Struthio camelus: one gene and its partner. The protein of the gene in region 1 interacts with the protein of each later gene in a pairwise test. Links are inferred from orthologs where the notes say so. Each region holds a gene or a part of one and is shown on either strand. Other genes may lie near its edges. The genes, in order: YTHDC1 and TRA2B.

Evidence for each region.
Region 2: the proteins of YTHDC1 (region 1) and TRA2B interact in binary tests that used the Homo sapiens proteins (3 or more experiments, as listed by UniProt). The link is inferred for Struthio camelus from reciprocal best matches to the Homo sapiens genes YTHDC1 and TRA2B.

What each region holds. Positions count from the first base shown.
Region 1 is NC_090945.1:5,369,111-5,385,181, reverse strand, and holds the start of YTHDC1 (YTH domain-containing protein 1), read right to left. Parts: upstream 7,430-16,071; 5' UTR 7,320-7,429; coding exon 7,292-7,319; intron 5,751-7,291; coding exon 5,661-5,750; intron 3,408-5,660; coding exon 3,306-3,407; intron 2,663-3,305; coding exon 2,334-2,662; intron 2,202-2,333; coding exon 1,847-2,201; intron 411-1,846; coding exon 321-410; intron 1-320. UniProt on the Homo sapiens protein: Regulator of alternative splicing that specifically recognizes and binds N6-methyladenosine (m6A)-containing RNAs.
Region 2 is NC_090950.1:3,144,088-3,159,326, reverse strand, and holds the start of TRA2B (transformer-2 protein homolog beta), read left to right. Parts: upstream 1-8,133; 5' UTR 8,134-8,335; coding exon 8,336-8,371; intron 8,372-15,239. UniProt on the Homo sapiens protein: Sequence-specific RNA-binding protein which participates in the control of pre-mRNA splicing. Can either activate or suppress exon inclusion. Acts additively with RBMX to promote exon 7 inclusion of the survival motor neuron SMN2.

The DNA of each region.
Region 1 (16,071 bases):
TTTGGGTAGTTTGGTTTGGGTTTGTTTTTTTTAAATAGTATTTGAACAGTTTCCTACTCAGAAAACTAGTCACTGAATCATCATCTTCCAAGTTTAAAACAAAAAAAAGTGAAAATTCCACTTAAGCAACAGAATAGCATTAAAGTAACAAGAAAGCCTACTTCCCCCCAAAGGTATCCACGCACAACATGCCAGAAGTCAATACCAAATTTTACCAAGCTACACACCCCATAAATTTCTACAGCCAGCTACATTTACTTTAGTTTACACAATAAGATTTGATGCAAGTCAGGACAACAAGCCATAAAAGGAAAGAATACCTGCATAGGATTCTGAGGCAGAACTTCCACTTCTGTCAAAAACAATTGGAGAGATACCTCTAGCTCTCTTCCTCTCCTTCTTTTTCTCATCTAAAAGCCCCCAAAACAAACAACAGCGGTATCGTAAAGATCAAGTGGCAGACAAAAATCAGATAAAAAGTACTGAGACAGGCAAATAATATCTGTAACGAGGAAGTTAGCATTTGGCTTGCACATGAAAATCCTGGTTGCTCTCCATAACGCTCCTCCCAGAATACCATGCACAAAAGAAGAAAACAATACTCCAAATTTTCATGCACGAAAGGAAGACAAACATCTAAAAATTCCATGCAAAGGTTAGAATTCATTTACGAGGTGTTTAAAGCAAGGGTGTTCTCGTTCTCCTCTCCAGCCTTTAGCCAAATTTGCAACACGCACAGCACCAGCTGTGTTGTGATAGTGATACTGCCTCTTGTTTGCCCAAAGCTCAGTAAAATGGCAAGAGCTATGAAAACTAACCACTGTGGCACATAGGCAATTATTTCCACTCTCAAAAGAGTTAAAATTTTATGCAGACCTTTCAAGAATAATTATTATTGCTTCACTTGTCTTAAACTACACCTTCCTGTTCTCTATTTCCAGACAGCAGAGCTTAGCCAAAAGACTGGGGTTAAGTTATACAAGAGGACCACATATGCAGACTTCAGACAAGGAAGCTATGCAAGACAAATCTTAACAAGGCTGTAAGCCTTTTTCTTATCAAATAAAACTATGTCACAAACTCTCCAGTGTGTCCCACTTATATTACAGAGATCACCTTTTTCAAGACTCACTTAATCCAAACTCTTTATGTCTACTTATACAAAGAGAACTAGGTGGAAAAATTTGAGCTATCATGCAGAAAAAAGGGGTTTGCCATGAACCTGAAATTTTCTGAACAACGCCGTATTTGTGACATTAACTGATCCTGACTTACAGAACGAAATGTTATAACAGACAACTGCAAAGCAACCGTTTCTCGTTTCTGCTTAAAGCATTTTTTGGTTTTAAGCCTGTCTTAACAGCTAATCGTTTCAACCTAGATTTTGACTTCTGATGCTGAAGGCAGCCAGTATTAAGACTCAACTATTTAATATAATCCCTTCTTCAGGGAGCTAGTACTATGTCTCACACCACTCTACCTGACCATTCATCTACATGAATGCAGAAAAACTCACCATCAGCTTCAAGTGAATTCATTGCATAGGAAACTAAGCCATGAGATGCATAAGGAAACATTAACTCTAACATTTGAAAGTATTAAACAGCAAAGTAGAAGCAATTGAGCACTACGTTTCTTCAGCATGGAAGTCCTGAAATCCACAAGTCTTGGTGTAAAAGGATGCTACTTTCTAGTATAATTCTCCTTTGCCTACTGATATTTCGTTTTACATCCTACTTGTGCTTCCAGGAGTTAGTTTTGACGTTGGTCCTGAAGTGGTATTTGTAAAAGCAACCAAACTTTTAGTGGTGAAGTATTTCAAATTGGCATGCCAAAAGTTACCTACCCGATGCATCCGAACCGGAACCAGATCTGACTGACCCATCTGTGAATGATGCGGATTCAGAATCAGAATCACTGGCTTCACTTCGCGTGTCATAGTCATTTCCTTCCTTCTGATCTCGCTCATCCTGTTCATACTCTTCTTCGTCCTCCTCCCCATCTTCTTCCACATCTTCATCCTCCTCCCCTTCATCATCTTCCTCTTCCTCCATTCCTTCCTCCTCGTTCTCTGTATTGCCTTGTTCAGAAGAGCCACTACTGCCAGTCTCATGATCTGAGCAATACTCTTCAGAATTCACCTCTTCTTTGGAAGAATGGCTGGATCTGCTTGGTCGTCTATCCATATCATGCCTGATTCTCTGATGTTTAAAAAAAAAGTGAATCAGCAGTCATAAAACATTGTCAGGATGCACACACAGTCCTAAGAGAATGTGCCTTATAAAAGTCTCATATAACTGTTTTATTTATAAGGCAGCAAGAACATTTACTACCTCTGAACCATCTGGTGTGGAAGACTTTGCCCTTCTGTCAATATCCCTCTTCCGCATGCAAGTTTTTTCTGGTTGTCCTTTATAAGGTTCCCTGGAACTGCTTGACATGCGCATCTTTCGATCACCATCTGGACGCTTGTTTCTATCAGGCCTCTGATATTCCTCATTCTTGTATTCTGATACTGGCTTTCCTTTCGTACTCACTATTCTCTTGTTATTGCTAACTGATGAACTAGGTGGCTTTGGCACCATTTGCCTTGAAGAATGCACAGAAGGTTTTTGTCTTTTGCTTTCAGCATTTTCCATCCTGTCACTTTTTCTTTTTGATCCTTAAATAAAAAGAGATATCAAGTTCAATGTTATTTTGTGTATCAAACTGGAAACTGTGCAGAAATCCCTAGTTTCTCTAGACTGATAATTCTCCCAAAGTCATAGGTAGCATCTTCCAGTTTTAAGCTTCACCTTAGTATGTTTTTTCTACAGTGATACCCCAAACTGCTCATTAGGAACAGTCGATATTCTGAAAATATATACAATTTAAAAATAGCAATCAATTTTTCAGGCTTTCATAGGCTTTAACACTTTCTAGATTTAATATACGGGGAACATTAATTCCAATGCTTAAGGAATTGTCCTAAAGCCAAATTACCAACTGAGCAGGACCAGACTTTGAAATCCTCTTGCTCCTTTTATGTTTCACTTCATTGAACCGAGAAGTACAGTGATTTTTCTAGCAGCAAATACACTCACAAAAAGCCAAACTCAGCAACTCCTTCTGAGACAAAAGGAAACCAAATTAAACATCTGTTCAAAGTGTCAGATGAGAAAGCAGATGCCCACGCAAGACTGATCTTTGGAACTCTTTACTTCTGTGATACAGGCTGTTAAGAGCTGTTACTTCAAAGACTTTAATCCTGTTAATACAGATGTTTTTACTGCCTACTTTCCTGTAGGACCTCCAAAGTCACCTACCCTTTTTCTCACTTTTATCTTGCTCACTATCGGGGTTATATAACTCATCATCTTGGTCAGGAGCATCAGTCAAAATGTCATCCAGAACATTGAGTTCACCATCTGAAACCAAAATACTTAAGTTAAAAAACGCTATTAACAGTCTGAAGATGCAACCTACAGTATAACTAGTATTAACAGACCAGAAATTTTCCCTTAAGTTTATGCACCTGCCATACTGCGAAATTAAAATCTTCTTGATTTTGTTCACAACGAAAAGGATCAATCAAAGCCAATAACAGTAGTAAAATATGTTACAGGATACCCTTAGGCCTCCAAATAAGGTCTGAGCTGGCTACTCGTGTCACGCAAGCTTTGAAGAACAGTTGACCTACAAATGAATGGCTTGAAAAAAAAAACTGTACAAAATTAGACAAAAAGGAAAGTGGGAGGTAGCCCAAATGCCATAAACAGAAGAGGCACCTCTGTCCTCAAAATCCTGAGGAAGGGGACTTACACCTCAAACTATTTCCCTTTCTCCCTTGCTATTTTATTGTTGTTGCTGTATTAGAAAGGGGAATTTTGTGGTTCACCTACAAGGACAGAAAACCCAGCAGGGCAAAGGAAGATAATAAGATCATAAGCCATGGTGCTCCAGTGAAGAGGTAGAAAGCAGCACGTATTTGCTGCACAATTAATTCTGAACTGCTCTGAAGGAAAACTAAAATCAATTCACCCTGACCAAAAGGCATCACAAGTTTAAGGAAATTAATGCTAGAGAAGTTGAATGACCACTCTTGGTCACACAACTCTTTAAAGTTGTCATTGTTTCCAACTGTGCTTCACTTTGATTGAAACCCATGGGAATATATAGTGATTCTGGTAGATGAGGGTTTCATCAGATATAAGACTGCAGATCTATATTCCAGGCACTTTCAAAGTGAGAACGGACTAAGCATGAACATGCAAAGGGATAAATAATAGAAAAGGCATTAATTTCAGAATTTCATATGACTTCTAAACTCTGGAATTCTTAGCTCTTTCACTCTATTTTACTATCAGCGATTATACTTTCTGCGTTTACTCATTTCAGGGAAAGGAGAGCAAACTCCAAGGATTCAGCTAGTTGACGACATCTGTTAAAGACACATTGTGCAACATTATGAAGCAGCACGTAAGGACTTCCATGCTGGATGAAATCACAGGTAAAGCAGCAAACAAAATCCTCCAAGGTTTGGCAACTTGACTATCTCAATATCTTAAACTGTGCCACAACAAAGACACAATTCTCCCATTCCATTGGGAAAAATATTATCATTTTATCTCTGCTATATATGCCTGCATCTGAGTTCAACACAGTGTGCTAGCTTCCCTGCTCGCATTTCCCAGATGATCCGTGGCAGAGGAACGTAGAAGTTGTCGTAAAACTGCACAGTTACTGCACCTAATGCAAAGGAAGCGGTGCAGAAAGGTAGTCTGAGCCTTTCACTGGCAGCTTGCCATTAGAGGACGTTTAAATATAACATGAAGCTACATCATCATTCTCTTGGGAGCAAATATTCACATTTGTTGACACCTATATCCCCAGCAAATACTTCTGCTGCTGTTGATGAGAGATGTACAGCCCGGAATCTGGCTATTACAATTGCTAAATATCTGCTGCAATTCCATGGCTTAAATTGTGCTTCCCCATAGAAGACTAGGCAAGTTTACAAATAAGATTTTACTACTGGAGACCAATGAAAAAGAGGTGTACTAGGCTCAGAATATTCAATATATCATCCATATCAGACCACAAACATTGAACCTCAGGGTTGTTCCACTTCTGAGGAGGCAACAGTACACTTGAGCAAACTACATTTACCTTAACTACTGCAGTAGCATTCAGAGGTGTTAAGAGATTGAGGTAGCAGCTGGTCCAGAAATAAATGAGAAGGTAATGAAAATTTAATGGAGGAAGCAAGTCTGACATAGCCTCTGTGAAGAATCCCTTCAGGGTTAGAGGGGCCTGATTTATAGTTGGAACCTTAAACAAAAAAAGGCAGTCTGACCACATGGTTCTCTTCTCTCCCTTGCCCCAGCTCTTCTTCTCAACTAACTTCTGTGAGATAATTCCACTAACTGAACTGTCACTGTTAGCGCTCAACCTGATTAGCAAGATAAATTGGCTCAGAGAGGGCAATCAGGAAAACCACAAAAGGAGGAGCACAAAAGGGGCAGAGGGACAGATTTCTCAGTTCATGACTGCTAGAGGGGAAGGTCCAAAGGGGTACCTCTTCCATTTCACAACAGACAATCCCAACTGTGCCCTCCTGCAACACATCTTGTGTTGACTCCAGGGTGTGTTGGACTCTTCCGTGAACAATTTTAACTCACCTGAAACAGCAAAAAAGTAACCCAGGGAAGGTTTTTTTCTCTGCTGGCCATGAGAGTTAAATCTGCTCAAGGAAGGGTCCAAACAAGCATCTGAGTTGGCAAAAGAAAGGGTATAAGATCAGGCGACTTAAAGCAGAAAGGATAAGCGAGATTTATTTCCAGTTTCCCAAAGCAGTGAAATAGCATTTCTCTTTTGGAAGGAGCAAAGAAACAACATCACATTTACAGTGAAGACAAGTTCAGTTACAAATGAATGTGCATTAACAGCTGCAAATAAGTAATAATCATAGGCCTCCCATAGGGGAGAAAATTAAAAACAGATTAAAATGCGAAACATAAAAATGTTTTTCGGTTGCTACTCATATCTCAGCCATTATCAATAATTAAAAAAACAAGACAAAATAAGAAAATCCAAGCTAACCTGGATAAATCGTAATATGAAAATGAATTTACAGAAGGCAATAGTAAATATTTCATTTTCACTGCTCTTCTCCAATGGAAGCTCTAGCCTAATTGAACAGAACCTAGTCATAGCATGCCTCACAGTTCTTAAATGCCAAGTTGCTAATGCTAAGATTCAAAAAATCAGAAATAATTTTACTCATTAGCACTAACAAAATAAAACGGGAATTTCTGACATGATCTACTTTCGCAAGGAATATTAGACATAGCAAACTTTCACCGCTTTGAACAAAAGACATTTTGCTGCATCTATCCTACAAAAAATCTTCCATGAAATGCATCCCATGGAAATCCAAAAGAGAGTAATCAGCGATCCTTTACTTTTATTCTATAATAGGTTACATTGCTATTATTTATGCTAACCACCTAACAGCAATCTTCCACAGTTAAACGATGCTTTCATTTTTTAACAAATGAATTTAGTGAAGGCTAATTTATAGAAATCAGTTTGTCATAGAAAGCATATGCATCATGTCAGATTCTGCATACCATGAAAATTAGCAGTGTTCTGAATATACGTTACCCTGGAAACGGTCAACTTTCATTTCAAGTATATTTACCCACAGTGCCCAGTAAGCATAACTGACTCTGCACAAGACAGTAAAATAAAGCAGAAAATATCACAAAAAAGTGCAATTTAAGCTTCCAATTGCAAAATTATAGCCCATATTCCTTCATGGAAAATCCTATTAAAAAAGGATGGCTAGCCATCAGAGAAGAAATAAAACAAAGCTGATACTTTCTGTTGGAAGATAACCAGTAGCAATCGACAGCTTATACTGAAACATGTATAAGCAGTAAACTTATTCTTGTCCCCGCTGCTCGAGTCACCTTGCCCTCAGCCCGCCGCCGCCGGGCACCGCATTACGGTGCGACAGCCCCAGCACCTCAGCGCGCCCGGGAAGCGTTTCACCACACGCAGCACCCCTCTGGGTGCCGAGGGGCCCCGGGACGTCTAACAGTTGTCGAAACCGCCCCCACATGGCGCCTCCAACCCCCGCTACCTCTCAACTCTCCTCGCAGACGCCCCCCAGGGCGAAGGCCCAGCACCAGCAACCGAGTAGGCCTCGGAAAAGGAAAGGGGGCTCGGGCGATGTGGTGCCTCCCCCACCCGAGCCGTTTCCCCTCACCAGGGCCCTGCCACCGCCCCCAGCCCTAATGCCGGGTACCTTTCTCCTCCCGACTGTCCGCCGCCATCCCGCCGCCGCGACGCGTCGAGCGCCTAAGATGGAGGATCGCTCTTCCTGCGCGGAACGATTCCCCCTTCCCACAATGCACCGCTTTGTTTACGCTCTGCGCGTCACAGGACGATGGGCGGAAAGGACGGGAAATTCGCCCGGCGGCGCACGCGCAGTGCCGCACTCCGGCCGGGGTGAGGGAGGAGGTCGAAGAGAGACGTGCCGCACGGGGGGGGGGGGGGAGGAGGGAGCGAGGGGGCGGGGCGCGCGCCCATAAGAGCGTGCCGAGGCGCACACGTCGCGCATGCGCGTCGCTGCGCGGGGAGGGCTGGGGGGGGGGGGGGTGTTAGGGCGCGTGTCGTTGCGTTCTGAGGCGGCGGCTGTTGGAGTCGGTGGGCCGCCGCCTGAGTGCGGCCCTTAACGGCCTCGTATGTTGGAAAGGGAGCTGTGGGGAGCAGGGGAGGCTTCCCTTCCCCCCCCCCTCCGCCCCCGGGCTTGGGGAAGTGCTTGGGGCTGCTGTTCTGCAGGTTTCCTGTAGCTGTGTGGATGGCTCTGGTTCCCATCAGATGCGCTTGCAGCAGCTTTGTGGGTTTTTTTTCCTTCTCCCCTTCCCTCAAGGGGAGTTGTTTTTTCTTGCTCTCGGCAATGCTTAACTTGTTTTAGAAAGTCTCTGTTCAAATATGAAACAGGTGTGTTTATTAATGTGAGGTAGCTTTTTAAAGTAACCTGTGGTTAGTGCGTGCTGCTCACCTGCAGTAACATAGCTCACAACTGTTACTGTGTCATCTTAGTAACCTTTTGGACAGTTTCTGAAGAGGCCGGACACTGAGTGCCCTAAAGCAGTTTGATAGGGCTGTGTGCAACCTGAAATGGTCACGTGAGAGCTTGTTTTATGCACTATGATGTTTTAAATCCTGTTAACTAGCACACTGCAGAAGTGCTGCCTGCCTTTTTTGACCTAGAGAAGATGCATAGCAAGGTGCCTGATGCTGTTGACTGAATGAAGATTCGTGTTTTAAGGCTGCAGGCATTTTGCAGGCTAGTCTGATGGATGCAGCCAGTCGACTCAATCCTTAGACTTGCTCCCTTCAAAACAAAGCAGTTGCAGTACTTTTTTCCTCGTAATCCTCAGGCTGCTCTTATAAAGTGGACAGGTTAGTAAAAACGTCTGCTGAGAACAGTAGCTATTGATTAGTCCAGCCTAAAACATTGGGAGGAAACATCTTCTTTTTTTTAGTGATGAAGACTAGAATGCAAGGTGTGCCTTGGGCATTGGTCATTGTTGTCTATCTTGCTTCAAAGCAGAACCTAAAATAGGATAAAAGCATCTACTGGAAAAATGCAATACTTCTGCAGAGAGGTCATAGAAGTTAGTTAGGTGGACTGAGGACAATGGTGAGATGGTTGTGATGCTTACTGAAAGAGATAGCAAAGTACGTGTTCTTCAGCTTTGTAGTTGATACTGGATCTGAATAAAGATTAATACTACACCTGTGGGGCTCTGACTGATTCAACACCTGCTCACCCCATGGGTCTTTATGTTCTCTGGAATTGCATCTTGTGAAACATGCAGTGCTTGTCACTAGTAGTTTTGCTGACACATCCTGAAGATGTAGTGAAAGACAAACAATTCTCGTGTGCATGTACCCATCACGTGAATTGGGTAAGCAGCTGTTGGAATGGCCTTTCAGCTACCAGAGTGCATGCCTCAGGGTTATTTAGCATGCAGCATTCATGAGCAGTGTCTATGTTCTCTAATTTTACTTGAAATTGCCTTGTGGTATTGCTTTACTAGGTATTCTGTTTACTGCTTTTGATAGAACCTGAGCTGAAAAAGGTACTGACCCCCAAAATTGTGTGTATCTGCATATAAGCCACTAGATGGTACCGTTGACATGAGTTAACTGGAAGGGCACTTCATCACAAGAAGCTGCAGCTTATGTCAGACTGCGTACTTCTCTTTGAATCTGAAAATCAGCAAGACAGCTTTGGAGAAAGCTGTTTTACGTGTAGCCTACCCCTTCTGGTAGGTTTCAGCAAAATCAGGTGTGACATGAAGTGACAGTTCAAATAATGGTCCAGCACTTTAATATGTTTGAGAAGCAAAACAGAAGCCTGCAACTGAGGATGGCTGCTGAAGCTTTTTCCAAGAGCATTGCAGCTGACTCTTCATAAGCCAGTGAACTAGGGACGTTTCCAGAGGTCCCTTCAAACCTCAACAATTCTGTGATTCTCTTATCGACAGGCTCTTGCTTAAACCTCATATGGTAAGGGAGACTCTTGGGTGCAGCCAAGTTACTGCTAACTGTGACTTCCCACACAGATTGCAATGTAGCAAAGCCCAACATGGCTGGGAGGGGAGGGGGAGAGCAGGGGTGCTAAGCTTGGCCCTGGGCTTCCTTCTAGCTCTTGTTATGTCAGAGGTTTTATAGGCATCCTTTTATTTGAAGGACCAGAAAATTACTTTGCCCAAACCCGGGTAGAAGGAATTCAGAATTCCCTCGCGTGGGCAGAATGCCCTTCAGAACCAGGTGCTGCTTGGAATTTCTGTCCTTAAAATTGCTTATAAGGTCTTTCTAACATCACAGTCTTAGCTCATTTGTCAGTGTTTTTATGCAAACGACTGCTGATGGGTGTTCTCTGAAGACTGTAGCTTAGAGGTGAGTACTGTTGAGGAAAGTCTAGGATAACTGAGTATAATCGTATCTGGGTCAAAGACGAGATTCCTCTGGAACGGTGATCTGTCTGCGGAGCTAATGTTGCTAACAGACTGATCAGAAGTGACTAAAGCTAGGGTTTCTGTTGACTCTTGTCCAGACCATTAATATGAATAGGATAGAGTCTGGATGGATTTGAGAGAACAGATCTGGATGAGTGAAAACTAAGCTTTTTCCCAACCAATGCAGAAGCAGAAGAAAGTGCTTTTGGACCTGCTTTGGTGTCAGGCCTTCTCTCTGTCAAGGGATTGGCTGAGGGGTTGTTGCTGACTACTCAAGAGGTACCTTTTGGTAATTGACTTTTTTGTGGGCCTAACGCAGCCTATGTAACTTGAAACTGTGGAGCACCAAGATGAGGTGGTGATATCACCTTTGTGAAGTATGTTGGTTTATCTAAGTTAGGTTAAACTAGGTTAAAAGGATAAATCCATTGATTCAGAATTAGTCTCCCAGACTGGAGGACAAGGCTTGTTACCTCTCCCATTCTTCTTGAAAGGCAGACTTTTATGGTGTGAATTGGTGGGGAGCTGTGCAAGTAGCTGGTTCCTGGAATGTGCATCTTCACTGATCTGGCTGCTGTCTGTCTTTGCATGCAAGAGAGCTATAATTTTATCAGAGAATGGCTTTTCCGATAAATTTATACAGTGTAACCATGTATAGTGCTCTGCTAAAGCCTGATACCTTTTATGATTGCATGCACACTGGTCCTTGTCATCTGACTACGACCTTGCAAGTGTAAGGTATAGGTTATAACACGTATCATCCATATCTAGTTGTACTCTGACTATGCCTAAAAGCCTTTCTAAAGCTAGTACTCTGGCTGTGTCTGCCCGTAGATGATGTTTGCAATGAAAAGTTCTGATTTTTAGACATAGCTGCACAGAGTGTTGACAGAGGCTTGCAGGCATAGATAGGCATAAGGTATTTTTACGTAGCTTTGCTTCTGCTTTGTGCCTTAAGTAGGCTATGGGAGGTGCTAGGGCGGAAGTACAGCTCCTGTGTCTTTTGTTCCTGCAGCAGCCTGGGTGCACTGGCAGTAGTGTGCTTCCTGTTTACAAGGTAATTACAGTATTCTGGACTAAGTGTATGCCAAGGCCAAGTACTTCAGGCTGCCGAGTTTATTGGCTCAGGGTATTATTACTGTGTAAACAGGAAACGCTCTAAAAGCATTACTCCAAAACATTTTTTTTAAATTAAGTTGATGGCAGAAGGTGCAAAAAATCTTAAAGAAAACGAAAGTACTTGGAGGAGAAGACGTTTTTGCCCATCTTCCAAAAGATCTGCGTTTGGCTGCTGTTCCCCGTTGTTGTTCTTGGTTGTTTTTGTTTGTTCCTTATTCAGTGCTGTTTTCTTCCCTTGAGGCTTCCTTCTCCTCCCCGGGTACTGTGATTCTCAGGCTGAAATGTTAAGGATGATATCTGTTTGCTGGCACTGGGTTTTGAGGGGGCTAAGTTTTTTCTGAATAAAAACATCCAAAAATGCTTTTGGAAGTGCTTGTTGCAATGCAGTCTGATGCTGGAGAGCTGAATAGTCAGTGACGAGTGACTCTGGTGACAAGCAAGGTAGGGCAAAGCTGAGTATGTTGAATGGTCCGATGAGGCTGCTCTTGTGGAGCTATCTGAAGAATTTGCATTTGACAGTCGTTACTGTGATTTATCCTTTGTTTTAGCTCTTCGTGCCCTGTTTGAACACGCACACTGTAAAAAGACTTTTTCCCTCAGTTGCCTTCTGCCATCCCTTAAAGTAAGGTTAGATGATGTAGTTGAGGCAATTGAGAGTTTTCCTGTTGCAGCATAGGGCAGCCCCCTCTTCTGTCTCTCCCTCCCCTTGCTTTCAGTTGTGCTGCCCCCAGTTCTCATCGACTCCTGATTCAAATTGCTAATTTGAAAGAAAACAGTTTCAGTTTTCTCTCCTGGATGACTTTTCTGGAATGTGAGTTGTATTGGCTTATCAAGAGGTGAGATGAGCGCAGAGGAAAGGCTGTCCCATTTCAGGAACAGCAGTGAGCTTTTAGATACGCTGCCAAGTTGCACCATGGTTCAGCCAGACGGAGTATCTCTAGATCAATCCCATACTGAATCAGGAGGTGGCAGCATGTCACACTTGGTGCCTGTTTTGATCCCAGACCAATGTGAACCGTTGTCTTTTCTTTTGCTGCAGGAGCTCCAGTGGTCAACGATGGTTATCTTTAGAAGAAAGGAAATGCAGGGCCTGTGCTGGATGACATACATGGAAGTGCTGCTTTGCCTAGCTAGGTCATGTCTGGAGATGGCAGGATTTGTTCTAGTACATATTTTAATTGATAAGCTTTTGTTCCTTGTGCTGCCAGCTTCCCTGGGAAGAGGGATACTGTAAGGCTGTGGTTAAGGTCATCCCTGAAGTACTTTTTTCAGATCTGATTATGACATTTGCATTTGCTTGGCCTGAATTCAGCAGGGTATTTACAGAACTGTTAGAGCTCCTGTTTGAGTCTTATGGAAGCTGTGAGGTTCTCATCAGATACTTGAAATTAAGGATGGGCTTATCCTCCTTGCTGGATCATGTTACAGTTAGCTGTTTATTGCTCAAGTGCTCTATACTTGGAGCTCAATTTGTATGCTGCATTGCACTGAAGAGGAGAGGGATGTGTTTGATATTCCCTACTCCCTGTCCTCTGTCTGCCATGATTTATGGTTGCTGAAAAGTGCAGCTGTCTTAGTTGTCACCTCACTAGAAATGAACAATTATTCTATATGATGCAGACTGTCTAGGCCAGTCAGGTTGGGGGTTAAAGAACAGGCTTGACAAGACTAGGTGTCCCAAAACATGGTACTGTGATGGACCCTATCATTAGCTAGCTAGCCCTACCTTAACTTAGCCTGAAATAGATGTATAGCACCTGACAGTAACCAAGGAATTTTTTTTGGTCATAAAAATGAGTATCCAGAACTCTGCACATCATAAGTAATCACACCCATTGACAGCAATGTAATTTAAAGCTATACATGACTGACAGATGCTGGTTGATAAGATATAATGGAGAGAAGACATGTCATGTTCTGCTGCCTTCTGCCTGTGTGTTTGTCTTCTGTCCTGTCCCAGGAAAAAAAAAAATACGGGAATTTTCCTTTCTAATAGTGCAGACTTTCAAGCTGGAATTGCAGAAGAGACAGCCCTGTGAGCTCCTGCTTGGGTACCAGATTGTAAAGGTCACGTTCTCCCGAAGGCTCAGCTGTTGCAGTTCGAGCTGAGTGCAGTGGGGGCTTCTGGATGCTGACAGTTCTGAAAGTCTCCTGCTTAGTTTCCAGCTGTGAGGAGCTGTTCAGTATCTGAAGTCTGTTTTAAAACTTAATGTGATTGCTGGGACAATGTTGTTCTGTGGGTGGGAAGCCTTCTTCATGGAAAGAAGGAAGCATGTGCTTGGCAAGTTTGGGGTTCTCTTTCATAAGCAGTTATCCGAGAAGCCTAACAAAAGTGAAACCCAGTTTTCTATCTTTCTCTTGCAGCATCTCTGTTATCTATTGAGGCATGGGCATATTGGCCTCTCTCTATCAACAGGGGCAGTAGCCACTTTTCCTACCCACTCTATGAAACTTCATAGTTTCTTCATAGAAACTTCATAGGACCTTCAGAGCATAATAGAGATTTACTGGCAGATGCCTACTGCATAGATGTTGCTTTTAGGAAAAGAGGTTCAAAGTAGCAGCTGCTCGGGGGCTTGGGTGGTTAGACCAGTATTGGTTGAGCGGGACCAAAGGGTAGGAGAAGCAGCTAAGAAAAAGTGCAGTGCATCTCATAGTTCTGCAGTGTGTTTATCAATCATGTCTGTATGCGTGTTTAGGTAGAGGTTGTAACACGTATCTCTTGACCTAAAAGCACGAACCCCACCAGAATGGTACAGAGTGCTATGTAGTTCATTAAGAAGGGGTGCTATGTGAAGATATAATAGACATTAGCAGTTATATAAACAGTTATTGTCTTGCTCCATGCATGGAAACATATGGATAGCAGACAGTGTGAGACATGTGTGCGTGTCCCACTCAGGAAATTCTGTTATTTGCAATATTGTTCCTTCCCATGTTTGGGAAGCAATATTGTGCTTCCCATGTCATTACAGTCAGACCCTCAGTTGTAACTGGGTATTTGTACGTTTATATTACCAAAGCTATGCTGATTTGCACTGGCTTAAGATCTATGTTCTATGTTCAGCCAAGGTACAAGAATTCACTGTGCTTATTTGCCAATGACTGCAATATGCATCACTATCAGTAGAGTTACTGCTAATAGTCACTTTCATTTCTGGGGGGTTCTGTTACTGTGAGAGACATAGCTTTTCCTGTGTTTTGTTCCCATGGAAGCCAGGTTGCCCTGTCCTTAACCTTTCATACCAGCACCAAAGGAGCTGTTAATGACTATGACGCTCTGTGTTCTCATTTCGATGCAGGTTTTAACTTGTCTCTTGCTTTTGTATTCACCTTGTCTTCCAGGTGAATCACTGCTGTTATCTGGAATCACACCCTATTTTTAAACCACAGTGCTCTTCTGTTTCTAGGGCTACTGAAATACTTGTGCTTCATAGGATTGGAGTTTAAATTGGCTCATTCTTTGTGCCCTATTTCAATTGTTGTATGTTTTTTTTGGATGGCTACTGGGTTTGCTTGTTCATCAAACGCTGATCAGTGTTCCATCCCTGGATGCTTAGAAACTTGAGTCATCTTGCAAAGTTATGAGATATCATAGATGAACACTAGAACAATAGAAACTAGGTCTGAAAGCATGTTGATGGATCATCTAATTCCTCTCCCACAGGGATAATCAACTACAATTAATGTACCCCCAGTAGTTGCTTGTTTGCAGAGGTTTCAGGATCTTTGTCACTGAAACTTTTAAGAACAGGTCGGACAATTATTTTAAGTGCGGACAAGTAATAGTGTTTTTATTGCATTCCAGTTTTAGAACCCATAGGGTTCATATTTTGCTGCTTTGCTGCACTGTAAACGTTAAAGAAATGAAAACTAAAATTATCAAGAAGTAACTTCAGTAGTGAAGTGTTGGAATAGAGGGAGGAAAACATTAGATTCTGTATAAGTGATCAGAATAAGCATTGACAGGACTGGGTCTGAAACCTTGATCTCATGTAGCAGGCTTGTTTCCGTATGGAATGGAAAAAGCTGAAGGTCTAAGAAATTGTTCATCTTGGGAATGTCAGCGAATTAGATTCAGAAAAGGTGCCTCTTATTTCAGGCAGCTCTTTGACCTGTGCATGTGTCCCTCTAAAATCAGTTCAACTAATATATTTTAAATCAAGTATGTGCTGAAGTGCTTTTGTGTGCTTGGAGCCTTTAAGCTTCCCTCAACTATACATGTCACCCTCTCCCCCCCACCCCCCAAAAAAAGAAAAAAAGGGAGGGGGAATGAATCATCCTTGGAAACCAGTGGTGTGGCAAGGCTTCCTGTGAGGCTTGATAGCCTTGCTGAAAAACAGTGATTTGCAGGGAAGACAGCACATGTCAAAGGTAGCAGCAGGGGCCTTACGTAGCTACTGGTCTCTTCATTTTTTTTCGGAGAGAAGATATTGTGGAAGCAGGTTGTAAAACAGAACAAATGGGAGATGTTTGGGAATGGATGCAATAGTGGTTCGCTTCAGAAGAATTTAAGAACATGTCTCAGCTTCTCAGAGCTGTTTGCTGGGAACACCTACTCATTAACCTTCTTTATAAGGCTCTTTGTTAATGCAGCTGAAGAATAGTTTGTCCTTTACTCTCAGATTTGGTTCTTTATCCTTTTCTTGTTGCACTCACTTGCTTCTGCAGCCCATTGCAAATTGTACTGTGAATGGCCATTTGTCCTCTGTGTCTCTTTTTGCTCTTCCTCTGCCACCTGCCTCTCACTACAAGACACTGCCAAGCTCTGCTGAAAAGCAGTTCAGCTAAGTACAGCTCACCTCCCCTGACCCAGGTGTAGAAATTATTGCATGCTGAGTGTTCTTTTTTTTTTAGGCATAGCTTGCTGGGCAATTATTCTGGTGAGTCACTTATAATACATAGGTCTAATTTAATCTTCAGGGTTTTTGTG
Region 2 (15,239 bases), on another chromosome or scaffold:
CAATTGCTATATTTTGCTAAGTGTAGCTTACACCTGTATTGTGATTTCAGTATATTGCTGTATCATTCTGCTAAATCAAAAATCCTGTGTATCAAATATCTTCAAAGAAGTACATTTTGATATTTAATTACACTTTCCATGTGTGAAATATCTAAAAGAACCTGGTCAGGGAGTATTGGACTCACTTCCTTCATGATCTTGAGCCCCACCATTTCATGGTTGCTACCCAGGCTGCCATTGATTATTTTGTCCTGAACCAGTTCTTCCTTGATAGTGACCAGCAGATCCAGCTGTGTATCACCTCTGCTTGGCCCCTTAAGTACCTTTATCAACAGGACTGCTTGTGTCCCACCATGTTGCCCTTCCAGGAGATATCAGGAAGGTTGAAGTTTCCCATGAGAACCAGGGTCTGTGATACAGAAGAGACTTCTCCTCTCCTGACCCACAAGTTCTCTGCTAGCCTGTTATCTGTCCCATAGAAGAGGTCCCTTTGTCTTAGCTGCTCCTGCACATAGAGGGCAATCCTAACTCTTTGTCTTACCGCCTGTCTCCTGACGTGTATCTTTTCATTGCAGTACTCCAGTTGTGCTAGCTGGCCCACCATGTCTCAGTTATTCTAATTTTGACACAGTTCTGTGATTCCACATGGAGATCTAGTTCCTCATGCTTGTGTCCCAGGTTGCGTGCATTTGTGTACATATATTTTAGGGGTTTTTTTGTGAGCTTGATTTCTCTGGTGATTCAATAAGCACACTGGTGCTTTCTATGATACTTATTGCAAGGTGATCCCCTTGATCTGACAGCTCTTCTCATCTTGGTGTGCTCTGTTCAGCAATTACTTTTTTTAACTCCTCTCAGTCATGCCCAAATATTGATTCCCATATCCTTGCATTGTTTGAAGTGTTTGAGGTGTGCACTGGTATTTGCCACCTGGGTGTGACTCCTTTTGTCTTAAGATTTAAACCCTCACACAAGTCCTTTTATTTCAAGAATACTGAATCAATCAATGCTTTGCTTAAATTGGAGGGATGTACTTTAAGTCATTTCAGTTCATTCAATTTGCCAGGGGAACTGAGGCTGATGAAAGTGTTAAGTGATGCCATACAAAATGCATATGTTTTCTTTATCAGCAGTGTAAGGAAGAGAAGTTGCTTTAAAGAAAAAAAGAAAGGAGAAAAGATGCAGAATTCCTTGTTCGTGCCTATACTATCACTTACTTGTTCCTGAAATTTAGATTGAAATTTTTTTTAATTATGGAGGCTTGCAAATTCAGACTGCTTATGGAGAAGGGGACATAAATAAATCTGAATCCTGACAAAGACAAGAAAATTTGCCTGGATCTACTTTTACTTCTGTCCTTAAATCCATGTAATTTTTGAACAAAAACTTGTTTAATATATGCACAAGTACAGAGCAACGTTACCCCTTTGTGGATGATGGTGCTTTTTACAATCAGCTTGTGTTGCTCAGTTTGTGATGACAGTCAGTGACAGCTGGTGTGCTTTTGACGGAGAAAAAAGGTGTATGTGTTACTCTGTAGAGATGCATTTGCAAGGTTCATCATGGCTGCCATGTTTTATGAAAAAATAATTCAAGTACATAATCAACGATGACTATTTAGTGGTGCTACGCTGCCCTCAAGTGGACTTTTTAGAAACGTCCCAATTTTCAATGCCAGCATGTACAAAGCTAATTCTTTTATACTCTTGGGCATTTGCTCTAAGAAAGACCCTTGCAACCACAGTGACTTTTTAAAAAACTCTTCCATAATAAAACTCAAACTTTGAAAGGTGGATTTATTTTAATTGATCGAGAAAGACAGGAGGTTGCCTCACAAACTTCAAGTAAGTGCCATCTCCAGCCTATGGCAAAATTTGGCATCTTGCAAAGCAGAGATGATAGCAGCTCCTCATTTGTGCATAGCCGCCACTCATATTCGGATTGCCACATCTCTTGGACCTCAACTGGACGCTATTCAGTGTCATGGTGCTTCTGATACTGGCTCTGCCAGGCTTTTCATTTCTTCCTCCTGGTGTGGGAATATTACAAAATACAGTTTCTGTCTATGTGTGTATGAATTAAATTTAAAGGCAGCCAGCCTGTCAGGAAGTGTTCCTAGGGCTGACTTGATGCTCTTGTATGCTGCCTGTTTTAATTCGCATCTATGACTGCAAAAATGTCAGTAGTCTTTAAATCCTTGAATGGCTTTTGAAGGTGAGCATACACAGACAGCCCAACACCAGAATCTTGTATAAACCCTTTGGCCAAGCACCTATCGTCTGCATTCCTCTCACATCTACAGACTTGGTTGTGGTCCTATAGTGCATATTTCCCAAAATGTAAATGCTGTGGCTTGGTGTTTTCCTAACCTGTTCAGTGGATACATTAGGGTAAGTACATTCCCCAGTACAACTGCCCAGCGCTCACAGTGCACAGAATGGTGCATGGACAAAGCAGTGCAAGTACAATGTAAACGTTAAAGGAACCAAGGGAGACAAGCCAAAGCGATGTTGGTAGTATTAATCAATGCCACAGCCACTTTCTGAGTGACATGCTGTAGTGAAGGGAAGAAGCTGTTTGCTCTACTTTGCATTGATTGATGTTGAAAAATTTGAGCAAAAATAGGTGAGGAAGACAGAAGTGTGAGGTCCTTGTCATGTGGTCCTCTAACAATGTCAAATCAGTTGCTCTGAATATGAGTGATGAGTAAAACCGTTTCTAGCAACACTGGCCATTTTCATGGCTCTCGCCATGAAAGCAAATCAAGGCATAAAGTAATTTGCAGGTTCTGTGCTCTGATCAAGAGTTTAATGATGGCCCTGAAGCTCCCGGCATCTTTCCTTATGAGCAGGTCAACAGGCGCAGTGCTGAAATGTTTGTCTGGGCAACATAGTTCTGTCAAGTTCTCATGAGGAATCAAAGATGAGGGATGAAGGTCTGTGACATCTCTGTCCAACTCTCTGCGACCTTTAGTATTGCAACCGCGTGAACAGATAGCAGACTCTGTGTTAAAATTGCCGAAGAGAAGAACAAGGTCTTACACTGGCATCTCATGGGACTTCTCTTTCCTCCTTGAATTGTTACTCGTGTCCTACAGAAATGGTATGTGCCTTCCCACACACATTGGCCTATCTCAGCCCTGTCTCCAGTTGAGGTCACGGCAAATATTACGGAGCTCTGAAGGGGTCACTTGTCAGGCTCTATACCTCTGCCTTGCCCTCTCCCAACGATATTTGATCCCACAGGATAGAGCGTCTTCCAAGCCCAGGTGGTCACCAGCTAGTGCAGCCCAAAGAAAGGACCTCATCAAAAAAAAATGACCAGATACTAAGTAGAGCTAAGGCTGCTGGATGGGGAAATAGGACAGCAGGGTCAGGGTTAAATAGAAGGCTGGGAGGGCCTAGCTGTGGCTCCGCTGTGTCAATACTTGCTCTTCAGCACCATCTGAGAACTGGGATTTGTAAACCCTCATTGGTTTGGTCTGCATTTTTTTCCATCCTTTCCCTTCTCATGGTCACAGCAGGGAGGAGGGTTTGCAAGTAGAAGTACCCAGCCAAAAGAGTTGCGATCGGGGGTCACTGTGTGAGTGAGGAGCCAAAGCAGAGAGGCAAGGGAAGGGACCAAAGGCCTTACAGGCAACCTGTGGTAGAGCAGGGAACGCAGTCTGCAATGAAGACATTTGCTAGGAAACTGGTCTGAAGCAGAAGGGGAGGAATAGGCCTGCTGCTGACCAGATAGGTTGTGAGCAGGTAGAGAGGGGGCAGAATTCATCCTAGAGACCATGTGTGAGGCTCCTCTGTCATGGAGGATTTTACATCACAGTGAGGTAGGTGGTATTAGCCTCGTTAAATGCCTAGTCAAAAGCATACAGCAGTAAAGCTGTAGGCAAAAATGTTTTCACTACAAAGTAAAAGGTAGTGGGGCATAGACCCAGCCCTTTAGTCCCCTCAGAAACCTCCCATACGCCTTTCAGTCCCTCCTGGAGACGTCTGTGTGTTTTTCAGCATGTCCCAGAGCTCTACATTTGTCCCCCAGTCCCCTCAAAGATCTATGGTCTACTTTTCAGTGCACGCCTAAACCCTCCTTTGCCTTTCATTGTCCACAGGACTCCTACGCGTTTCACTGCAGCCCAGAGCCCTCTCTTTCCCTTTTGGTGGGCCCTGGGGCTGGCTATTTCCCCCTGTGTGGGGGGCTGCTCTGTCATGGAGAGTTTATCACTGCACCAAGGTAGGTGGTATTAGCCTTGTAAATGTCTAGCATAAAACTGTAGTTAAAATTGTTTTCGCTATGAAGTAAAAAGTTTAGTTAGAAGCCTGGCATAGAGGCAGCGCTGCTCTGCAGGGCCTGTAACGCCTGGTACAGTGGCAACTGCAGACACTCCCTTCGTGTGCCCTTCCCTGGTTTGCCGGGGTCCCCATCGGAGGCAACCTGTGCTGGCTTCACTACCACTAAACAGGAGCAGGGGGATGTTTGGCCCTGTGGTACAGATGGGTGCTCAGTGCTGGTGCCCAGATCAGGGCTGAGCAGACCAACCTCGGCATGGCTCGCATGCCCTTACTGGACAGGAATGTGCTGCCCTTGGCACACAGAGGGAACTCCTCCTGAACACTGGGGCCTTTCTCTGCCTCCAGCCACAACATGGAGAGGATGTTCCAGCATGGCCAGGGCTGAACCAGAACAAAGGCTAGTACTTGGCACCCATCATGGGGTACTGTCCCTCCACGCCACACAGCAAAAATCTAGTGGGGCTTCTTTGTCCCACACAACTCACTTAAGCTCTGTGGAGTAGTCAGGTCCTGTCCAGCAACCTCTCTGGTTGGGCCTTGTCTTCCCCACCACGCCCCCCTCTAGCAGACATTCAGGTTGGGTCCTTGCCCCCGCTGACCGCTTCTGCACTTAAAGCCTCAGACTTGTACATGAAGACTTTTTAAGTGAAAGGCTTCAAGTGTAGAAGTGGGCATGATCACCCTGCAGAGCATGAGTTGTGTGGAGACAAGACAGCTCCTCAGGACATAGTTTCTCGAGTGATCACTTCCTTGCCTCCCCCCTACCCAGAGAGAAGAGCAGCGAGGGCTTGGACTTTCAGTGAATCTGTGGTTGCCCCTGTCTTCCAAGCTGCCCTGCTTCCTTTAGACCTTCCCTGAGTAAATGCCTTCTACCATCCCTTTAATGGAAATAGTTAGTAAGGTATTGAATTTGACAAGCCAAGGCTGGGGGCAAGGGGTGAGGCATCCTTCTGAAAGCTGTTATCAGGGATTAAATAAACCAGGGATTGGACAAACCAAATGTCTCTTTGTGTCAGTTGTGGAAAGCTCCAATTTTTATTTCCAGGAGCAAAACCAAGCCAGCATGGGGCTACCACACACAATTTCCACTCAGCTCTTTCTGTGGCACAGCTTCACAGTGACGACTGCAAGAAACAGGGCAAGCCAGCAAACGCAGGCGCGCTTCCTTCTGCAGCTGCTTTTTGAGGGTAAGTGAAGATGGCAGAATCTAATTCCTGCTCATTCAGATAGCGTTGCTGGAAACCAAAATCACTTGTCACTTAATATTTCCAGCTCCAGCTGGAGTCTCAAATGGTGGCCCCAACCAGTTGGGAGAAGGGTGAGCAAGAAGCAAAATACCAGTTATTCCACATCAACAAGGAGCTAGCAAAGTTTAGCTTTGGTCACTTGCCACTTTGAGGCACTTATCCAACACTTCCTCCCACTCCTGGATCTTCCCTTGGTCCTAGTATTGGCAGGGCTGTGCTCCTCACTGGGTGCTTCTCATTGCAGGGATACAGTATTGGCCTGCACTGAAAAAAAAACCCTCATGAATAAATGGGAACAAAATGGTGTCAGCCACAATCCCCAGGCCACCCTTCCACCCCCAACCACAAGGAAGGCTCGGTGAGGGATGAAATCACTTTGTCCCCTGCCTTCCCCCCTCAGTTCCACCACCCCATCAGACTAGCAATGCCTTTGCCTGAGCCACTCTCTCCAATTCTGGAGGCAGAAGTATGTGACTACTAGCCCTCCCTGCAGTTCAACACCCTCCTGGCAGCTATTGCTAGCCAGGCTGTAAACACAGCTCTGTTGGGAATCACAATTCTGAGCCAACAGAGACTAGTTGCTGAAAAACACTGCTGTGTGGACAGGATTCAAGGACTGTTCTGCCCCACACCAGCCAAGCTGAACTGAGCCAGCATTTTATTTACTGACATTGCATTGTTGGCAGGGAATTTCAGACTCAGTTGCATTGATACTCTCGACAGCATGGCAAGGACGATGGTACAAATCAGAGCAAATATAAAAGGCCGGTCACAAAGTGAACATCTGCATCTTCTTTAAGCCTAAAGCCATGGCCAGTGTCTCAAGGCAGCACATCAAGGAAAGAGAAGGGAGCAGGCACAGAAAGCCCAGCTGGGAGGTATTTTTCCCAAAGTGGCCTGCCAGATATCCATATGCCCAGAAAGAATTTCCAGTGAAAGAGGATTGCTGGGGAAACCCAGGCATGACAGAAGTCTATGCCTCCATTACCTCTCTCTCAAATGAAGAGACCTCTTTTTCCTTCTGGAATGCATCCATGAATCATTTTTGTCTCCTTTTCTGAACCCTTCCAAGTCGTTCCTTCTGCTTGAAATGGGGTGACCACAACTGCATCTGGTGTTTGTAATAAGAGTACAATGGCAACATGATAGTTTCCACTTCACGTCCTCTTCCCTTTCTACAACTCCTATCAGCCATTGGGCCTTTTTGACGAGCTCTAAAGACACTGTTTCTGGCAACTCCAAGATATTGCTACTGAATGGAAATGGCTAGTTAAGAGCCCTTGTCGTGCAAGTGTAACCTGGGGGGAAAAAAAAAGCCTACATGCATTGCATCCCAGTTATCAACTGTATTTCACATGCTCTTGTATCACGCAGTCACTCAGGGTTATTGTTGCTGTTGTTTCTCAGCTTCGCTTTCAACTAACCTGAATAATATTCCACCACCCACAGATTTATTGCCCCACAGTAATCTCTCTTCCATATCATTTATGAAGATGCTGAATAGCACAGGTCACAGGAGAAAAAATCTCCTACCATTGAGAAAAAATTATAATTTATTCCCATATCTTGCCTCCAATCTTTTCACCATAAGATTAACTCAGAAAAATTAATGAGTGCCTCCCTCTGATCCTTTGCCAAATTTATTGTCTTCAAGAATCTTCAGTGAAGGATTTCTTGAAAAGCCAAATATAGTACAATGAACCAGCCTCACTGGATATATAACAACATGCTGTGCATTAAAACCAGTTACAGACATTACACATTCTCATAAGCATTTCGTAGATGAACCCTGTCCTTATCAGTTATATCAGCCTTCCTTGTAGAAAATTGTTACCCAATGTGCTTAGGTGGAGTCCTTAGGAGTGGGTAAGAAGGTTTGCTTTAGTCTGTGTACTGCCAATGCCACTATTAAAAAATGAAAAATTAGGCCTCAAGAAGCAAAAGATGAAAACCAGAATCCAATCCACTGAGTTGTGTGCGTCTAAAGCATACAGTCTGGGAAAACTCCTAGCTTAAAGACAGAAGGGAAGAAAAAAAGTCATGGTTTGCTTGAATGGTTTGTTCTTCAGTCCCACAGAGTCATATGTGCTCGATTTTTCAATTTGAATTGCATCAGCTTCCACTGCTGGCTGCTGTTACATTTTTCTCTCAGAAGCTGAAGAGCCCCAGTTTTGCCTCTGTTAAGATGTATTTTCCAAAGAAAACACGTTACCTCATGGTCCAGAAGGCTCTACACGCCCACCCCCCTCATCATCCCTCACTTAGCACCCAACTTAATAAGCAACAGCTTTACCTTTACTGACCATTTATGAAGTAACACTGGGTCTAACACTGGTTCCTGATGAAAATCTTTACTTTTCCCTGATTTGGTGACACCTGCTCACCGAAAATTATTTTGTCAGCCAATTTTTACCCACGGCAGCCCTCGCTGCTGCTGTGCGTGTGGGGGGGGGGGCCTTTCCCACGAACCGACTGCACCTTCGGCGAGCCCGCTCGGTGTTTTAGCTGGAGGGGGCTGTACGCGACAAGGCCGCGCGGCCCGGCACTAACTGACCTCCCCCCCGCCCCTCCCCCCGCCCCGCTGAGGGGGCACGCGCGCAACTCGCGCTCCTCCTCCTCCTCCCCCCACCTCCTCCCGCGCTCGGGCCGAGCGCGAGGCGTAGGGCGCGTGCGTCGCGGCGCGCTGCCAGGGGCGGGGCCTGGCGCGCGCGCGCGGCGTGCGTCACTTCCTTTGCGGACAGGGCTGGCGCCGGGGACGGTCGGGTCGGTGCAGCGGTCGCTGGGAGCCTGTGAGGAGGGACGATGAGCGACAGCGGGGAGCAGAACTACGGCGAGCGGGTAATACACGGAGCCTGAGTGCGCAGCCCGGCCGGGCCTCGCGCCGCCCTTCTGCCGGCGGCGCGGCCGCTCCCGGTGTCCCCGTTCCGCGGCCCTGGGTGGAGAGGGCAGTTGATCCGCTGAGGGAGGGGTCGCCGCTGCGCGGCCTGTGAGGAAGCCTCGGCGCAGGGTGCGGGAAGGCCCAGCGGGCCTGGGGTTTGGCGCGGGAAAATGGCCGCCGGCCCGGTGTGAAAGGAAATGGGGGCGCGCGGCGAGGACGCTCTAGCTGCCCGCCCGCCCGCTCCATGGTGAGTCTTCCCGACGCCATCTTGGGCTGGTGACCAGGCGCTCCGGGAGAGGGACAAAATGGCCGAGAGCGGTCGAGTTGCGCGTCCTGGGACCCGCGGCCGGCAGCGCGGAGGCTAGGCTATCTCTCGGCCCGGCGCGGCTGCCGTGCCACGAGCGCGGTCGGGCTCTGGGACCTGCCGCTCCCCGCGAGGCCCGTGAGGGAGCAGAGCCCCTGGCTGCTTCCCGTGTCCTGATGGTGGGGCCGGGCGGCCGCCGCCGTTTTTTAAGGCGGCTCTGCCAGGCGGGGGTGAGGGGAGAAAGCAGCCTGCCCCCGCTTCGTTCTCCCACCCATGTGCTCCTGATCGCCTCCCGCCAAGCTGTTGGCCCACGTCCGCTCCCGCCGGCCCTGTTTAGGTCTGCGGACGTGTGATCGGGGGCGTCGGGAGCGCCTCTGAGCTCGCTGTGGGGTGAGAGTAGGCTGCGCTGCGGCTGCCTCGGCTGGTGGTGTGGTGACGGTCCATAGTTCTGCTGTCTTTGTAGCCTGTGTCATGCATCCCTTAGCCTTGTTACTTAGCACCAGAATAGAAAGGGACAATGCGAAAAGGTAGTAGTTCTGTCTTTCATTGTACTCTCTCCAAAACCGCACTGCAATTCGCTTTTAGTGCATTACTTCATAAGCTCAACTCTGACTTGCTGTGCTTTGTGCTTGCTTGTAAAATACTGTTTTTGCTTGTTGATGGAGTTGCAGCTTTGCATCCGGGTGGCTTGGTCTCTAACTTAAAGGTGACTGCAGTAGCCAGACATTAAACCTCAAACCATCAACTCTCATAGTGCTAAGGCAGGATTCTCTATGCTTGCATTGTGAAACTTGCAGTATGGTAGAAGATATTTTTAAACTAGTTACTGCAAAACATTATTGGCTGGGTGAGATTTAATTTGAAGTTGCAGATCACTTGTGACAGTTTGTGTTACAGATTAATCTGTACTTCAAAAGTATGTGTAGTTGGGTTTGGTTGGGAAGGGTGGGATTTTTGTGTTTTTGGTGGGAGGGGGAAACAGCATTGTTTTCCTTTGAGGTCTTTTGCTGCCACAGATGAGTGCAATACAGGAATCAATATTGCATTTTGTTTTATTTTCAGCGTACTCCGCTAAGCTATCGCAGCATCCAAGGGAGGAGTTTAGGTGATGGCTAGTTTATATTTTACACTTTCCTTGGAGGTTTCAAAAAAAACTTGTTCAGAGAATTTAATAACACTAGGCAGGAAATGGTATTTTTGCAATGCCTCTCTTTGGTTAATATGGGGTTTTCTTATTCAGATTCACTCTAATAAGCATTATTAGTATGTCAACGTTACTTCTTCCAGATAGGTTAGAAAGATCTGGTCTCCTCTCCTGAAAGCTAAAAACGGTAGATGATTTTGAACACTGAAAAACAGGGACTAAAGAGTAGTAGATTTATACGCCCCTTCCTCCCAGCATTGTTTTTCATTAATGTTTTCATATTATTACAACCAGTGGATTTTCTACAAAGGAGTATTACTTCTGACTTGTTCAAGATGGATTACTGCATGTTAGTTAAATGAGAGCTCTAATTACTACCATACAAGTCAGATTGAAAACCAATTTAAGATAATAGCCTAATTTTAGTGCAGTTTGTCAGGGTAACCTACATCTTTGTTTAGCATGAATGGAAATATTTAAAATAGTTGTTGTAAAGTCTTTGAAACAATTATGCAGGGTGTGATAGAACAGCAGTTGCTCTGCTGTTGTGCTTTCTTCCCTGTGCCCGTTTCTCTGTTTTATCTTTTCTGAATCTCTTAAAAAAATAAATCATGTTCAGGCAGTCTCCACAATGAAGGCTTAGGATGAGTTATCTCCCATTAGAGCTTGCTCAGAGAAATGTTATTTCTGTATAACTGAACTTTTGTGACTCGTGCATAGGTAAGTCCTACGCAATATACATGCTTGTAAAAGTGAAAAGTACAATCATTTAGCTACAAGCCTGCTATTGTAGACTAGATCAGGCAGTGGCTTTTCTAATGCTGTACCAGTGTTACTTACGGATATCTGTTGCTTGCTTAGGCTTTTATTTTACCCAGTCAGTGGCTTTCTAGTTCTTCAAGCTGGACTCTGAAGTCTCTACTTCAGAGTAGGAATGGTATTTGGATAAATAATCTAGGATATGGCTTTACAGCTGGCTGTTAAACTGTTCCAAGCCTATGCTGCCAACAAGAATTACGCTCCTGAAATTCTGTTCCTGCTCCTTCCCTTCTGCCAGTGAAGTGGTGTAGTCAGTCAGATCTGGGAATTGAATCAGCTGAAATTAATATTCTGAATCAATTTCCAGCTGCATTGATTCACAGACTTGACTGATTGTATAGCCACGTGAGCCTTAGTGTCAGTGGAGAAGAAATAACCAAGTGCTGGTGGAAGTAGTGGGACTTGGTGTCTCGTTGGCAACTGAACCTTAAATTGGCTTATGTCATGACTTAAACTAATAATAATGATATTGATTCCCCCTCAAATTGTTTCGTGCAGCTTACACTTCATAGTGATTTTAAACTCTGAAAACGTTTTTAAATTGAAGAGATAATAAATGATTAAATGCTGCCAGTATTTCAGATATTTGACTTCTGACAGCACGCAGTGAGACAGATTGCCACTTTCTTCCGAGTCACTTTTATTCATTTGTGGAAACTTGTTCAATCCTGAGATACGGTTGTAATTTGTGCACAGAAGGCTTGGAAAGAAAGCTGGTTAGGAAAAGTCTTGCTTTCTTTATTCCCTGAATATTTGGAACCTCCAAATAGTGAGTCTCCTGTGAGTTAGCTAATCCTGACAATGATTATTTGGTATGTGTCTGATCAGGGAAAAAAACGTTTAATCTGATAGCCAGATTTCTTTTTTTACAGTCAAAGTACCTTGAATGGTTGTAGATCACTTAAAAGGTAAAGTCAGCATTTTTGAGAATATTATATCATCTCTTAGAACTTCTTCCATAATTTATTTCTAAGGAAGCAGTTTGAGATGGTCAGAAACAATCTAATAGCTTGCTGCCACCAAAGTATGGGTATTCTCCTTTTTCTTCCTTCACCATCTGTCACTTGATCTGACCTCTTGGTAAGCTGATTGAATACCCCAAGCTGTCAGAAAATCACTTGCTTTTTGTTGTTGGATTACTTTCCTCCTAGCTTAGTGTACTGAATCAGCTGAGGTCAGAGTGAATGGCAGACATAGCGGAAGGAAGCTGGTTTTGGTGCTGTTGAGCTCAGCTTTTCAAACCACATTCTCTATTTTTTGATGCCATTTGGAAGCTGTTACATAAACTGAAGTATTTAGGCATTGATTTGAAATTTTTGGAAAGAAAATGCTACATCTCTGAGTTCAGCTTATATTAGTACTGTTTATTATTTTGTTAGAGCCAATTTATAAGGTCTTGGAAGTAAAACACTAGAAGTGAGCGGGTTCTGTAAGGTATTCAGACTGCTTTCCCTCTTGATAGTGGATTCTCGGCCCCCAGCAGCGATCTGGTGATGGGGTGGCTTCAGGGTGAGTCAGAATCAGCTTACCAAGGCCCTGGAAACCAAATGTGGGAATCGAGATAGAAGCAGTTATTTCTCTGGATTCAGCAGTAGAGAAGTTGGAGTGTGCAGTTAGCACAATTACACCTTTAATAGATCTGCAGTTAGATTTGATGAAACAATGTGAGGCTGTACCTTTAGGAAAGCAAGTGAAAATACCTAAGTTTAAAAGATTTAGGATAGATAACATTAAAATTTTGTTTGGCTATATTTTAAGTTGTTAAATAACTGAAATCTATTGCCTGTTATAGTTAATTGCTATATTTAATTGCTATAAGGAAAAACTGGGTTTTGGAAGTACAAAAAGCACATGATCCTAGCTTACATCCATTATAGCTGCTTCTGTCAATGGAATTTTTCTTAACCTGCTGTCCCCAGGATGATCTTGCTCTTGTGACACTCTGTGCTCAGAGGAGATGAATGTAACGCATCTTTATGAATGTGCTTAGAGGTGTTTTAAAAACAAAAAACTCCAGAATTACACGTTGTTTGAATATGCTTGAAGCATGTTTGAGGAATAATTCAGAAACCATAACTTAAGCTCTTCCACTTGAATTACGGTAATACATGATAAAGAGGAAGTAGATAGGATTTGTAGGTACTGATCAAGTGACCTGGTGATTCTTAAAATCTGCAGTTCAGAAATTCAAGGTTAGAAGAAATGGTTATTTTGGAATCAATATTTGTAGTGGTTATTTGGAGATCTGGAAGCGTTTAAAATTTGAATGTGAACACAGCTTGATCTGCTTACCTGCAATGCTTAAATGTAGGTAGGAGGAAGAAATTAGCTTTTTCCTCTATCTCTGTTCTTCCATGTGTCATGAGCAAGGAGCTAACTTCACCTTATTTAACAAGGTAAAAACTCATTAAGTGAAAGGTAGAGAGAAGAACGTTGTAAAGTTTGGAGGTCTGCTGGCTAGTGATATTTGAAAAGCTCTAATTTAGGTAGGGAAGATTTCCTTTGGCAAGGAGGGATAATAGCTTTTCAATTCTAGAGGTTATTACCAGTTTTAGTAATACCATGAAGAGATGAGGTGCAATTAATTCCTCTGAGGCTTGCAACAAGAAAGAAGTGACATAACTCTGAAAAAAGAAAAAAAGAAAAAGAAAAGTGAAGTTGAAGGTTTGGAAGTTGATACTCCAGGGGAAAAAATGTGTAGGTTTAAAAATTGCTTATTTTCATGCAGCTTCTTTGGACTTCACAACATTTTGCCAATTGCCTAGTTTTAGGATGTGGTTATCATGCAGTTGTCTTCTCAGATGCGAAGTGTCCACTTCCACATTTACATTAACATAAGATAGCAAAGATCATCCTAAAAAGTGTATCAAATAGATGAAAGCTTAGGTTATTTGCTTATTCTAGAGCCACTCCTATAATGATTTCTTCAAAGCCTAGTATCTCTAAAAACTAGATTATTGTGGGGGGAGGGACCAGCTTTGGAGTATGCTTCTGGGCAAGGTGGTTCTTCCTGCTACTTCCTTCCCGCTCCCAAAGCATCATTCATTTCTTGTGTTTTCTTCAATATTAGATCTTCTGTCTCTGGACCTTATTTTACTCCTTCTCTTTAGACTGAATCTGTCAAGAGTGTAATGTTTTGGGAATTAAGTATTTTTCTCAAATATAGAACAGCCTTAGGTTTGGCTTCAAATCTTGCTTTATATAAAGTCTGAAAATATTTTGAAAACTTTTTGTGGCTAAATTTAAAAAAAAAAAAACCTAGGGATGAGTTCCGAATTAAGTCTCATGTGTTAATGTAGTAATGAGCTTAGGTTAAATTTGCTATTTGTGACTTAAATTAGTTTTCAGTACTTGCACTAACCTTTGCAGGTGTAGTAAATGAGGTGTTTATAATGTAATGGCGCTGATTGCACATTTTGGCAAAGAATATGGCCAAGACCAAATTTGTTTTGTTTCTGTGGTGCTCAGTTGAAAATCTGCTTTGTGCTGCAAGCTCCTCCTTCTCCCCCAAGCGTGTGTGGTAGGCAATTGTAAATAGCTAGACTTTGTTCTGAGTGGTATAGAAGTGGCTTAAGCAAAACTAAAGTTTGATTTAGCAAATGGATTTTTAAATGTTTGATACTTAAATTGCTACTAGTGAGAATTTCAAGAGAAGTTGAGTGTTGAAATTTCAAGAGACATTACATAGGTAAAACAAGTAGTTTTGGACAAATTCTGGTACTCTGTCTTTATTGAGCATTGTCAAGACTTGACCTATGATTTAGAATTTGGTCTCTTTCTAAAAAAAGTATGTCCAAATAGGTGAGATTTCTGCTGAATTTTAAATTTCCTCTAATATCTTGAAGCAAATTCCTTCTGGTGTGTTCAAACTAAAAGTTGAAGCCATGTGATTGAGTTTAAGCATTGTATTGATTAAAAATACAAAAATTGAAAAGGATAATTAGGTTATGTCATTACTGAAATAAATTACAAGTAAATAATAAAGGAGATGGGATACTTTTCCAGTATTTGTGTTTTGCACAGAATCGTATTTTCAGTCTGTGGAAAATCATAATTTAATTGGAAGTATGAACCCTGCATGTGTAATCACACTTGTATAGGCGAAATAGATGTGGGTTTTAAAACTAGGCCTTCTAAACTGTGAGAACGTCCCAAAACAGTAACACAATCATAAGTCAGTGTGCTTTCTGCATTGAAAAAGCACATCAGTTAGTCTCTGACCATAGTAGGAACTTATTTTACTTAAGTCATTTCTTGTTGATTTTTTGTCTTAAGTATGTGGCTGATGAAGAACAAAACACTTGAATTTCTTAGATGATGAGTAAGTCTTCAGTTGGTCCGTTGTGCACTTGATATTAAATGTAGGCATAAATAGTGAATTCAGTTACTTTAGTACTAAGTTAAATTGAATTGACTGAATCTGTTTATAAAATAGTAGGAGAGTCGGTAGATTCAATTCTTGAACTGCATATATAGTTGAAGTCCACAAAACTTTTTTTTTTCTAGTTTCAGTTTTGGCACTAGATTTTATCCTGGAGTTTTTAAATATTCTTCATCCTGT